Arabidopsis thaliana: one gene and its partner. The protein of the gene in region 1 interacts with the protein of each later gene in a pairwise test. Each region holds a gene or a part of one and is shown on either strand. Other genes may lie near its edges. The genes, in order: AT1G47670 and NRT1.5.

Region 1 (5,501 bases):
GTCATTCTGATGGGCCGTTGTTCTGATGGGCCGTTCTTCCTTGTTAGTAGCTTTCTTGACTTGTTCTATTTGTGTTTGGGCCGAATTGGGCATGGAGGGCAAAGCCCGTATCCCACAATCTCATTGGCGGTCCGACACTTCACCTAGAACATGACAGAGAAATCGACTCGATGTACATTGAGGGTATTAAATGCGTAATAGACATGAAACCATGCACACATCTAAATTCTCATGTACAAAAAGACACTCTAAAAACATGCCCCGTATCTGCTCTTATACAAATCGTAGTGCAGTCGTCCGTCGACAGGGGTATACTTGTACATCAATTTTCATCAAACATGAGCTTCACCAATTCTTATGTCAAGTCGCTTGATATCAACATATGATATCATGTAATTCTATATACTTTCCCTCTTCCCGCAGGATCCAAAAAGTTGTGCAGAACAAAAGATCATCCGAGAATATCATCTTTCATACACTAAAACGATTACTTTGAATCCGAATTCTTGATCTAGCTTAATTTAGTTTAATACTCATGTATCGTTATTTTTAGTAGTATCAAAATAATTTGAAAAAAAGATGGAAAAGAGAAAACCACGTTGGGAAAATTCCAGCTAGGGATTCAACAGAGGCACACAAGTGTGATTCTTCAAAATTCCAAATTCTTTATATTGAAAAGCTTACTGAATTATAATACACATTACATTGTTCCAACTTCAAAACATAGGCACTCTTAAACAAAACACAGAAATACAAAATCTCTTAAAACTTCAAACTTCCCAACCAAACAAAACCACATAGGCTATTACTACTTAGTTAGGCGGCTTGAAGAACTTGAGCTTAAGTCCATTGGTAACCATACTCCAGATCCCACCTATGGAGAATGCCAAGCTGAATGCAACTCCCAACCAACCTAATCCCCAATGGAAATACCAATTGAAACTGTATTTCGCCGGTTTCTTAATCAAGACCCACATGAAGCAAGGATAAGCAAATGTGACCGGGAGAGTGAGTCCACCGAGCAACCCCGCAAGACTAGACAGAAAAGGGAGAGCAACACCGATGAAAAACGAGACAAAACCAAAAAAGACTCGGAAACCTGATCTGACCCAAATCGAACACGGCTTGTTGGTTCTGCTTGTGTAGCCAGCTTCAAAGCTGTCAAAGGCAGGCATGGAGTATATCTGAAAACTGCTCAAGCAGCTGAAGACTACTAGGAGAAATGCCGTCGCTAATAAGCCTCTCGGGATATCGTGAATGTGGAATGCATACAAAGCAGCAAGCATACCTCCTGAAGGCATCTATAAGACCAAGAAAAAATAACTTCAAACTAATCCGGAAATTGAACCAAAGATCAGAAAACGAACTATAAATAAATGATATTAGTGTTCCTTTTGAATTCTATATTTCACTAACATGAACCAAACACCAGATAAACATCCTTCACTGACAAGACATAAACAAAAGATATAGTAAATGGAACTTACAAGGTTCCCATAAGCCCAAAAGCCTCCGATGGAGATTGGAAAGATACACAGAGCAATGAGGAAGTAAGAGATTTTGGCTCCTCTCCACATTGGTACGTGAGCAGGATGCTTAAACGTTGATGGCATCGTCGACTACAAAGTTTTCAATACTCAGAATAAATCATAAGTCCAATATGTGCATTATCTATAGACAGAAATATTTTGCATATTTTACCTGAATTTCCAAAACCAAGTTGTGACCTCTGAAGGCAAAAGCTATAATGCCAAGAGCATTCAAAACAGCGAAGAGTGAACCAGAAGTCGAAGGCATAGAAAGAGGCTCGTATGAGATAGTGGCTGGTCTTGGTTGGCTCACAGAGAGAACCCAAACCATTGTGGAGTAAGTTATTGCAGTCACTGCTCCTATTAAGGAGAGTCCCGCAATAGAATTGAGGTTTGGTAGCTGAGACAGAACGATGCAGAGAGATGTAAACACCAAATACCATTCAACTGTTGTTAACGGATTCGAGGTGCATAATGGACCGCAAACTATCTGGAAGAAGAGTTTCATTGTCTCTCCACCGATCAGAATCAGCGCTGTCGCGGTTCCTGCTGATAAGTAAACCGTAGGAAACAATGCAAGCCATACTCCTAACCTTTCTCCTGTTCCAATCAAGAGTACAAGATTTAGTAATAGCAACTTAGCAAGACACAAAATTAGTATCAATAATAATTGTCACTATTGATGCATTATTTCATCATTCTTAATGTAAAACTAAATTTATCATTTTACCAAAAGCAGCTTGTGCAAGCTCGACATATCGATTGTAGCGTTTCCCGGGGACAGCTTCGTGCAACTGAACCAGAATCCACAGTGTGTAGAGTTGCCAGCAATATGCTATTGTTAAAGACAGTATTCCCCAACTCCTGTAACAACAATAATTCACTTCTTGAAGTTTGGAAATAATATATGTGCATTTTCTTACATAAGAATCTCAAATACATGATCATTGCAATATCATTATTCATCACTAAGCTATTTAAGTATTGAACTAGCCAAATGCTCCACCTTAACAAGTTATGTATAGTTTCAAATATTAGAACTTGCAATAAAAAATATTTATCTAAATATAAGTTTATAAGAAGAAATAGTCATCTATTATGACGTCAACTACATGCCCTACTTATATATACACAATAAATACTTTTCAGAAAAGTGTTTTTTGCCGGAAATTAACAAGAAACAAAGTAGACGATAAAGAAGGCTCTGTCTTAATCCAAATTAAAGCAAAAAAGTATGTCTGTGAGTATCCACATGTGTAATGATGGAAGCATGACAAATTAAAAAGAAAATATCTACTGCTAAAATTGAAATGTTTTCAAAGTTAAAAAGTAAATTAGTCAATATCCTATTATTATTTCCGACAAGAAAAACATTTTTGATTTTTGCCCAAACAAGTAAAGTGAACCCTGAAACTGGATCTGAGCACCACAGAGAGTCGAATAAACCCTCGCCGTTCACTAAACAAAAATAATCTTGAAACACTAAACACAAAGTTCAAGAAAAAACTCAAAAACAAGAAAAAAGATTATTGGAAAAATCAAGAAAAACGCAAACGCACCAGCCAAGAAACGCAAACGCGACGGGAAGAACAAGGGCTTGAAAACCAACACCAGCGTTGAGATTGTGAAAAGCAGCGTAATGAGCGTTTCCATTACGAGATTCAGTGATTGGAAGCCAAGCATCTTGTGGGTTTAGCTTAGTGAGATGACCAACTTCTTCAAGATACCCTTTCATGTTCACAAGAACTCGTTTCATTGGTGTACCAATCGGACTCAAGAACCTCGGTGATATGAACGAAGTCGGAGTCCATGTCGCCGACGATGGTTTGGTGGCCGGACGAGGTGATCTTTGACCGGAGGGAGTTAGAATCTCCGGTGTTGAAACTCGTGGTGTGGCTGGTATTGATATTAGCTCTGTCTCGGGTCTTTCGTCCATTGGAGCAGGTGAAGAGTGCGAGAAGAAATGATGTTTTTTTTTTGTTCTCACTATCACTCTCTCTCTCACTCACTCCCTATTTAGAGGGGTGGTTTTTTTTAGGACAACTTTATTGGTATTGAAACAAATTTTTATTTAATTACAAGAAGAGGACAGATTAACTAACGAAATTTACAATTAAATGACAATCAAAGTTGATAATTAAAGAACATGACATGATTATTTATAATGGTCTCAACAGTAACAATTTTTTTTTTGTAACATTACGACAAAAGTAACCTTCCCCATCAATACAAAAGTTCTGAACATATGTTTGTTTGACCAGTAAGTACTAAGTATTATGATGGTGAGGTCAAGTTTTTGAACATTATGACCAATTTGTTTATTTTTTAGCAAAAAATTGACATGAAATAGGTGTTGATGATCATAATCACTTTAAGTTAGCTGAAATATTTCACCTTATCTGAGTGGAAAAATAACATTGATATATGTAAATTAAAAAATAACAATGAAATATGTAGATTAAAAAGTAACACTGAAATATCTTAGCAAAGTAAAAAGTAACACTTCAAACATGTAAATGAAAAAATAGAGAGAAGAATTTTTGAGGCCAAGCAAAATTTGCAACTCACCTTACTCTTTCATAAAAAAATTCAATACAACAATTTAATTTTACCAAGGGATTAGAGATATCGATTATATAAGGGAGTGAATGCACTATAACACCCTTCATAAACCACCATTAACTCAGTTTAAATATTTGATACAAAAATTTATCTTTGTTCTTTCTCTAATATGCATTATACAAAATAACTATTTAAAAGATTCGCAAACTCATTTCTTCAGTTTTTTACTTAAAAATAAGATAAATACATTTTGGAGTTGGATCTAAACTCAACATCACTTTTTGGATGATTGAAGATTTACAGGATATGCTTGTCTGAAAATAATAGATTTGGAGTTAGCAAAATCTTTGTATTCTAGTGATAAAATAGATACGAGTAAGCAAAATAAATTGATACACATAATTGTAATGAAGTTTGGTCTTTCAAACTACATCCATGGAATTACATAATTGCAAACGTATAAACCAAATCCATTTGCTCTGACCTACCACTAAGCTAAATTACATCTAAATTTAGAGTTTAGTCATGATTTGAAAAGGAAGAGTTACAAATTATGTCCAACTTGACGTTATTTGTATTTTATTTTCTTGTATCTCTTCTACCATCTACTAAAAGGAGATATCTTGCTCTTCAAGTTAGGAATTATCCAACATCACTTGTCGATGGACTTTCTACTGAAGCTACAAGGACATGACATGCTCGGTTATATCATATTGGAGTTGATTCACAGAGAAGATGTTGGAGAAGTACATGAAGAAGATGATGGCATGGAGGATATCACTAAAAAATACCATAATGAGGTTGGTGAAGTAGTTCAAGGAGTACCACAACTGAGAAGGTCGGGTCGACAAATAAGTCAGTCGCGGTACCTTGAAGACTATGTTATGCAGTCCGAAACAACTTATGGATTGTTCCACCAAGCTTATGTTAAAAGTAAGAGACGTCAACTTTCAACAAGTAATGAGCCAAGAGGCTAAAGATGTGCTTTAATGGAGGAAAGATGTGAAGAGGAGTTTGAATCAGTCAACAAGAACAAGATGGTTCCTTGTTGACATATTCATTCAAGTTTTGATCGGTTCAAAAGCTTTTCAAGAGTTTTAGAGAAGCAAGTCGGCTTGTCTATTAAAACCTTTTGTACCGATAAAGGAGGAGACTTTACTTCAAGGGAGTTCAATCGATGTTGCATAGAGGAGGAGTCTCCAGGTATCTAATGAAGATTCTAAATGATATGTGGAGAGAAGTCGTACGTCATTGAAAGATCATGGGACTACATCTAAAGAAACTAGATGAAGAGTCAAGAAGTATAATCACGAGGCTGCATCTCAAGAAGGTAGATGATTGGTCAATCTTGGAACTAAGTCAGATTTTAGAGATGTTTAAACCAAGTTGGGTTTTATTAGAGAATATCAA
Region 2 (7,363 bases), 5.8 Mb from region 1:
TAAAATTGTTAATTCTAAGATTACACTCGTAGATTATCATCCCGTATGAGTATCAACCCAAACTCGTTCCACCAGATAACTTCATTTCGTAAAATTAAATAATATTTTTATTATTTTAAATATTCTTATTGTAATATATTAAAAATCAAGGGATTGACCTGTGGTAGATCTTGGATTAATATATTTAAAAATAATTTGTGATTTATAAATTTATGATATTGAAGTATATAAAACCGATATTTAATGTATACCTTTCAATAATTATATAAAGTATATTTTAAAAGTCAAAATTTGTATAAATTGATATTGCAACCTCATGAAATCGTAGTGATTTACACGTAGGGTACCACAAGCTAATTTTTATTTTATTTTTAATAAACTGATAAATTTGTTGATTTTAGTTAAAATTAAAACATAAATTAAGTTATATTTGTTTTGTTTATTGTTTCAGATTGTATAACTATATTTTGATTGTTAATTCCATAATTTTATCTGTTGTATAATATTGACCAACACCCGGCTAGTTTTTTGTAATCTAATGTTGACCCTGAAAGAAAAATCTATAAGCATACGCATAAATGGATAGTAAAATTAGGAGATAAATATCATTAGAACATGAAGTAATTTACATATGAATCTCTATCTATTTTTTTAAGGAATCAATATTCTAGATTGATTGTGAGGCAATATGAATGTATGCATAACATTTATAAGAGATAGATTGTACATAAAATTAGATTTTAATTTGGATTCAATTTTAGCTTTACTGGAAAAAAACTAATCTGAATTACATATTTTAAATTTAGGATAACGAAAATATTTTTTTTTAAAGCTAAAATTAGATCTCAACGATTTTGGTATGTTTTTAAATTAAACTTATCCTTATACATTATCGCAAATATGGTAGTCATTATTGTTCGAATACAATTAATGATCTGCCAAAAAAATCATATTAGTGATGGTTCTCATTTTGAATATTTGCATTAAAATTTTTAAATATTGGTATTTAAACTTTGTTTTACTATTTAAAAATAAATAAATAATTTAATCTAGTATAATGAATATTTCAAAAGCTTGTAACTATTATAATACGTTTAAAAATATATTTTCTTTTATATAATTCAAATTTAGCTTAGTGATATATTTTTAAAATAATGAAAATTACTTGTTTTAAAAAAAAAGTACTTTAAACGTTTATATCATTTAAATTCTAATTAAAATATTAAATATATACTGAAACCATTTTCTAGATAATTACAAATCTAAAATCCAAAAATTTTCTTAATTTATTGATTTAAATCATTTTTTAAAAAAGAAAAATTGAAGATATTTATTTAGTTGGAGTAGTTGTTAATTTACTAAATTACCCATGCAAAAATATTCATTTAGTTAGTTTTAAACTACCCTTACAATGTTGTAGTTCACACAATGCTTCCCAATTAATAGTATACATGTGTGATCACGAGTGTTCAACATAAAATATAATGTAACTTCAGGAATAGAAAGATATTCTTTTTTCTTTTAGAATTTGAAATCTAAATTGGATATAAGAAATTATTCGAACCTTCAATTTTTTCAGTCTATACGTACTTATTTAATTTAATGTGGTACCTCTTTTTTCTAACAACAAATATTTTGGGATTTTCCGTTGTAGTGAAATTTATAGAATCATTAATTAAATCTATTTCTACCAAACGTTTAAGTTTTGCTACGAAAATAAATAAATAAATATCCTCCGACCATCAGCCTCAGCCACATCCCCAAGTTTCGAAAGCACAAGAAGCCTTTCAGCGCCAGAGAAAACAAAATTATTGGGTGGAAAATGCAAATATTGATTTCCTAAATAATTAAAATTGTGCTTTTGAGCTTTTTTTTTCATCGTGCTAAAGTATTTTTTCAGAAACAAAACAATTAAAAATAGATATTGGGCATGTGAGTGTCCCATGTAAAATCAGAACCGTTCAAATCATCTTCCAAACTTCTATTTATTCTCAACATTCTCTTCTCTACAACACCCAAGCTTGAACTTGCTTTCTGCTTCTTCCTTCTTCGTCCTTTGTTTTAATTCTCTCATATCACTTACGAAAAGAAGAAAGAAAAAAAACACCAAAACTAAAGAGAAATTTCGTTATCACTCTCTTGCCAAAACTCACATACATATAATCATATATCATCGCAAAATGTCTTGCCTAGAGATTTATAACAAAGACGTAAGTAATATTTAAGCTTGTCCCTTCAATTGTTTCTTTATTTTCTTTGATATATTAATCAGAGTTTGAAGTAATGGACCTTTGCTTTTCTTCCTTATAAGATTTTGATTATCTGATTAAGGCTCTTGTTTCTTGAATTTCATATGTGACTACAAAAGGAAATATTTTCTTTTTAAGTTACTCATTGTTATAGTAAAAACTTTCTAAGCTTTTGGTGGCTCAAGAAGAGCATGATCAAAAGGACATGCTTAGTGCAATGGAAAGTCACGATCTTTATGTGCAAAAACTTAGCTCAACATCTTTTCTTTTTCTTCAAATTTCTTTTTAATACACCATACTTTTTAATTAATTAGCTCTATTATATCTAATCTTCTTAATTTAAATATATAGATGTAAGTATTTTTCCGTTTAGTGCTGTCATTGAAAGTTGAGAATGATTCCAAATGATCTTGAAAATTGTGTATACGAAACGAGAATTACGTGCCAATACAAAAAGTAAGAGTTAAAAAAAAAAAACGTTTTTAGTTTTTGGTTAAGTTCCGGAAAATACAAAACTATCGAACTCATGAATCTTCTCCATATCAAGAGCACAAAAGGTTGTAGAGACTAGTAGATAATTAGGCATATAAAGCATCTTTCTATATATTTATAGATAAATTGATGTGTGTGTATCAGTTAATTAAATTTAACTAAATGAAAATGCAGACGATGAAGAAGAAAGAAGGAGAAGAAGAAACAAGAGATGGGACAGTGGATTACTATGGTCGTCCCTCTATTCGTTCTAACTCAGGCCAATGGGTTGCTGGCATCGTCATTCTTCGTATGTCTCTCTTCCCTAATCAAAATTACAATTTAACTATATATCAAATTGAAATAAATATATAGTTTTGCTAAGAAATCAACTCTAGAATATAAACCAAAGCGGAGGAAAATATATGATCGACACCTTAAAACATAGAATCTTTTATTTTATTTTATTTTGTTCTTCACGTCCTTTTCTCAAAGATACCACATGCAAACTCATAGCATCTTTGCATAAGGTATATTCAGTGCCGGTCCCTATATAATTCATGGATTCAAATCATTAGTATGGCTTAATACATGATTTGTATATTTCTACACACATGTTTACATTATTTTGTATATAAAATTATGTGTAGCGTATAAATTGAGATATATATCCCGACAAAAAAACGTATGAATTGAACTGACAAGGGAAAAAAACTAGATACCGATATGATGTATATCTAAAAGTGTGTAGATTGATTGATATGCATACTTATCTTTGAGGTAATAAGTTATCAGAAACTAGGAAAGTGACAATAGAACCAACATTAATAACTAGAATTAACTTCGAATTTTACGTGAACGTGTCAAGACATATCCATGTGTTCGAACGTACGCTGCATGTTTTGGTAGAAAAACCCCAACCACATGACAAATGCATATAATTTTTTGTTGTATAACGGACGCATCATTAATGAATTTCCAGACTTATCTAGTAAATTTCCCATAAATTCTTGCTATTTTTTATTTATTAATTATAGGGATCCCAACAATTATAGTACTTATGTAAAGCAAAAAGAATACTTATGATGAAAAATAGTTATTATATAATAAACATATGTGTACTTTTCAATCATTTTCTCCAAAAAACAAAATACTAATAATTCAAACGCAACTAATGTGATGTAAGAGATCTGAATGATTGAGTGTTTTTGTTAAAATTAATGGATCTAGTTTGTCATTTAGAAAATAACTGAAAGTGAAAACATTCAGATTTGTAAGTGATTCTATATATGGAGATAGATATTTAGGTTTTTTAAAGATACTTTTATGGAATTTAACCAAAAAAAGGAAAAAAAGTTATTTTGAGAAAGTCGACACTAATAAATTAAAATAAGTGCAAGGAAAGCATGTGTTAGTGGAATTACGTTGCCTTACACGTAATTACCCATCTCGTCGTCCCATGACGTTGGCTTTTGCCACGTCCACTTCTTCACATTTTTCTCCTAACATTTTCAAATTTTGCTTTACAAAATTATGTTACTATTAAATTATATTTTAAGAATATTACACAAAGCATTTATTTTTATACAAAGTACAATTTAAGAGATTCTAGTGGGTTTTCTTTTTGGTTTGATGATTTATTAGTAGAGTCCACGTAATAGTTTTAATAATTATTATTAGTTAACGATTTGTATTTCGCATGAAGAATTTAATTTGCTAAAATTGTAGTTATTTGTAGATTTCATTATCATTTTTTTATTTGATTTCGTTAGAAGGTGGAACAATAATGAAGTAGTCATTAAATACAATCCAACCAAAGAAATGTTAACATCATCTTGACGAACACGGAACAATTATTAACAATCATTCATTCAATTCTTTCATCTATTCTGGTTTCTTTCAAATCAATAATAATTTGGTTAACTCTCTCTAAACCGGGTTCTAATCTAATTTTCCGGTTAACAGTGAACCAGGGGCTGGCTACACTAGCCTTCTTTGGAGTTGGAGTGAACTTGGTGCTCTTCCTAACTCGCGTTTTGCAGCAGAACAACGCAGACGCAGCTAACAACGTTAGCAAATGGACAGGGACTGTTTATATCTTCTCATTGGTTGGAGCGTTTCTCAGCGATTCGTATTGGGGTCGTTACAAGACTTGTGCTATCTTCCAAGTCATTTTTGTCATTGTAAGTAATAGCAACTATCAAAATGTGATTCATCTTTTTTAAGTTGGAACGTTTTAAGCTCATAAGAACGCTTTTTTGGATGTGAAAACGCAGGGACTTTCATCGCTATCGCTATCATCATACATGTTCTTGATTAGACCAAGAGGTTGTGGGGACGAAGTCACGCCTTGTGGTTCACATTCCATGATGGAGATCACAATGTTCTACTTCTCGATCTACTTGATCGCATTGGGATATGGCGGTTACCAACCAAACATTGCAACGCTTGGAGCGGATCAGTTCGATGAGGAGCATCCTAAAGAAGGGTACTCGAAGATTGCGTTTTTCAGCTACTTTTACCTTGCTTTAAACCTCGGATCGCTCTTTTCGAACACCATCTTGGGGTATTTTGAGGATGAGGGAATGTGGGCACTCGGGTTTTGGGCATCCACTGGCTCTGCTATCATTGGGTTGATTCTTTTCCTTGTTGGAACACCGAGATACCGATATTTCAAGCCCACGGGGAATCCTCTTTCGAGGTTTTGCCAAGTTTTGGTCGCTGCAACGAAGAAATCATCGGTGGAGGCACCATTAAGAGGGAGAGAGGAGATGTATGACGGAGACAGCGAAGGGAAAAATGCTTCAGTTAACACAGGGAGAAGGATAGTGCATACCGATGAATTCAAGTAAGTCACCAAAAATTGCAGTTTCACCATATACTTCAATGCCATGAAGTGTTCTAACATGTTCCTTTTGGAATTTCAGGTTCTTGGACAAAGCAGCGTACATCACAGCTAGAGATCTAGATGACAAGAAACAAGACTCAGTGAACCCATGGAGGCTCTGTCCAGTGACACAAGTCGAGGAAGTCAAGTGTATTCTTAGACTGATGCCAATTTGGCTCTGCACTATAATCTACTCAGTCGTCTTCACTCAAATGGCCTCTCTCTTTGTGGAGCAAGGCGCTGCAATGAATACCTCTGTCTCAGATTTCAAAATCCCCCCGGCAAGTATGTCCAGCTTCGACATCCTTAGCGTCGCTTTGTTCATATTCCTGTACCGCAGAGTTCTCGAGCCAGTAGCCAACAGATTCAAAAAGAATGGATCAAAAGGAATCACCGAGCTTCACAGGATGGGAATCGGACTTGTGATTGCTGTCATAGCTATGATTGCAGCCGGGATTGTGGAATGCTATAGGCTTAAGTATGCAGACAAGAGTTGTACTCACTGTGATGGCTCAAGCTCCTTAAGCATCTTCTGGCAGGTAATGAACACAGACCTTAAAACTCACTTTGGTCCTAAAATCAACAACTTACAAAAGAAACTTCCGAGTATTGACACTCTTCTACTCTTTGCAGGCTCCACAATACTCACTCATCGGGGCATCAGAAGTGTTCATGTACGTGGGTCAGCTTGAGTTCTTCAACGCGCAAACACCAGACGGACTAAAGAGCTTCGGGAGCGCTCTGTGTATGATGTCAATGTCAATGGGGAACTTTGTTAGTAGCTTGTTGGTAACAATGGTGGTGAAGATCTCAACAGAGGATCACATGCCTGGTTGGATTCCAAGGAATCTCAACAAAGGTCACTTAGACAGATTCTATTTCCTCCTGGCTGCGTTGACGAGCATTGACCTGGTGGTATACATTGCATGTGCAAAATGGTACAAACCTATACAACTAGAAGGAAAAGATGAGATGCAAGACATGAGTGATGATGACTATGACACCGAGAGTGAAGAGGAACGAGAGAAGGATTCTAAAGTCTAACAAATGTGTGTTTGGTTTTCAGTTTTCCGGTGATGTAACAGCAAACTGATTCATAAATAAAAGGCTAAATCGGATCAGTCTTTTTCGTCGAAAAGACTTCTTCTTTAAACTCCTAAGCTCTAAAGACTTAACTGTAATGTGTTATATGGGTTACTCTTACCAATAAGTAATCAGATGAGATAGACAGAAATCCTCCATGACATATCAAACATTTAGGTACTAAACTATAACCAGAAAAAAAGCTTCAATAACTTAAAATTTTATATGGTTGTTTGATTCACTGTGAGTGATTCAAAAAAATATGGATCGAACTGTGTAAGAGAAAGAAAGCTGAGTAAAAGCAAGATGTTGTGTAGCTCAAGAAGTAAAAACATCATCCACCTATCTTTATCTTACGGACTTGTATGAGATGTGTTGATTCTTCACGCCAAATGGGTTGCGAGCCACTTTGGACAAGAGTTACATGTTGTCCTTCCTTGAGCATATTCTCGTCCTGAGTGATGTATAAGTTAAGTGTAAGCAAAACTGCCGAAAATGTAATGTTTGATAGATGAGAAGGTACATGGTTAACGTACCTGTAAGAGTTTGAGAGACCGGGCATATGTATCTTCTGCATCATCCGAGAACTCCATATATATAGGCATGACACCTTGATAAAGAGCAAGCCTTTGCATTATTCTTCTCCTAAAGGAAATAAACCAAAAGATCGATC

What was found.
Region 2: the proteins of AT1G47670 (region 1) and NRT1.5 interact in a protein complementation assay, tested with the Arabidopsis thaliana proteins (one large-scale study listed by BioGRID).

Annotation. Positions count from the first base shown.
Region 1 is NC_003070.9:17,536,022-17,541,522, forward strand, and holds AT1G47670 (Transmembrane amino acid transporter family protein), read right to left. Parts: upstream 3,699-5,501; 5' UTR 3,466-3,698; coding exon 3,089-3,465; intron 2,394-3,088; coding exon 2,260-2,393; intron 2,130-2,259; coding exon 1,702-2,129; intron 1,620-1,701; coding exon 1,488-1,619; intron 1,302-1,487; coding exon 813-1,301; 3' UTR 604-812; downstream 1-603. Other genes in the region: AT1G47680 (uncharacterized protein), read left to right, coding at 4,754-5,068. UniProt on the Arabidopsis thaliana protein: Amino acid transporter.
Region 2 is NC_003070.9:11,714,625-11,721,987, reverse strand, and holds NRT1.5 (nitrate transporter 1.5), read left to right. Parts: upstream 1-1,999; 5' UTR 2,000-2,180; coding exon 2,181-2,210; intron 2,211-2,915; coding exon 2,916-3,030; intron 3,031-4,685; coding exon 4,686-4,903; intron 4,904-4,996; coding exon 4,997-5,568; intron 5,569-5,647; coding exon 5,648-6,146; intron 6,147-6,240; coding exon 6,241-6,651; 3' UTR 6,652-6,841; downstream 6,842-7,363. Other genes in the region: PKp3 (plastidial pyruvate kinase 3), read right to left, coding at 7,025-7,144, 7,227-7,335. UniProt on the Arabidopsis thaliana protein: Low-affinity proton-dependent bidirectional nitrate transporter. Involved in nitrate loading into xylem and not in nitrate uptake. Not involved in histidine or dipeptides transport.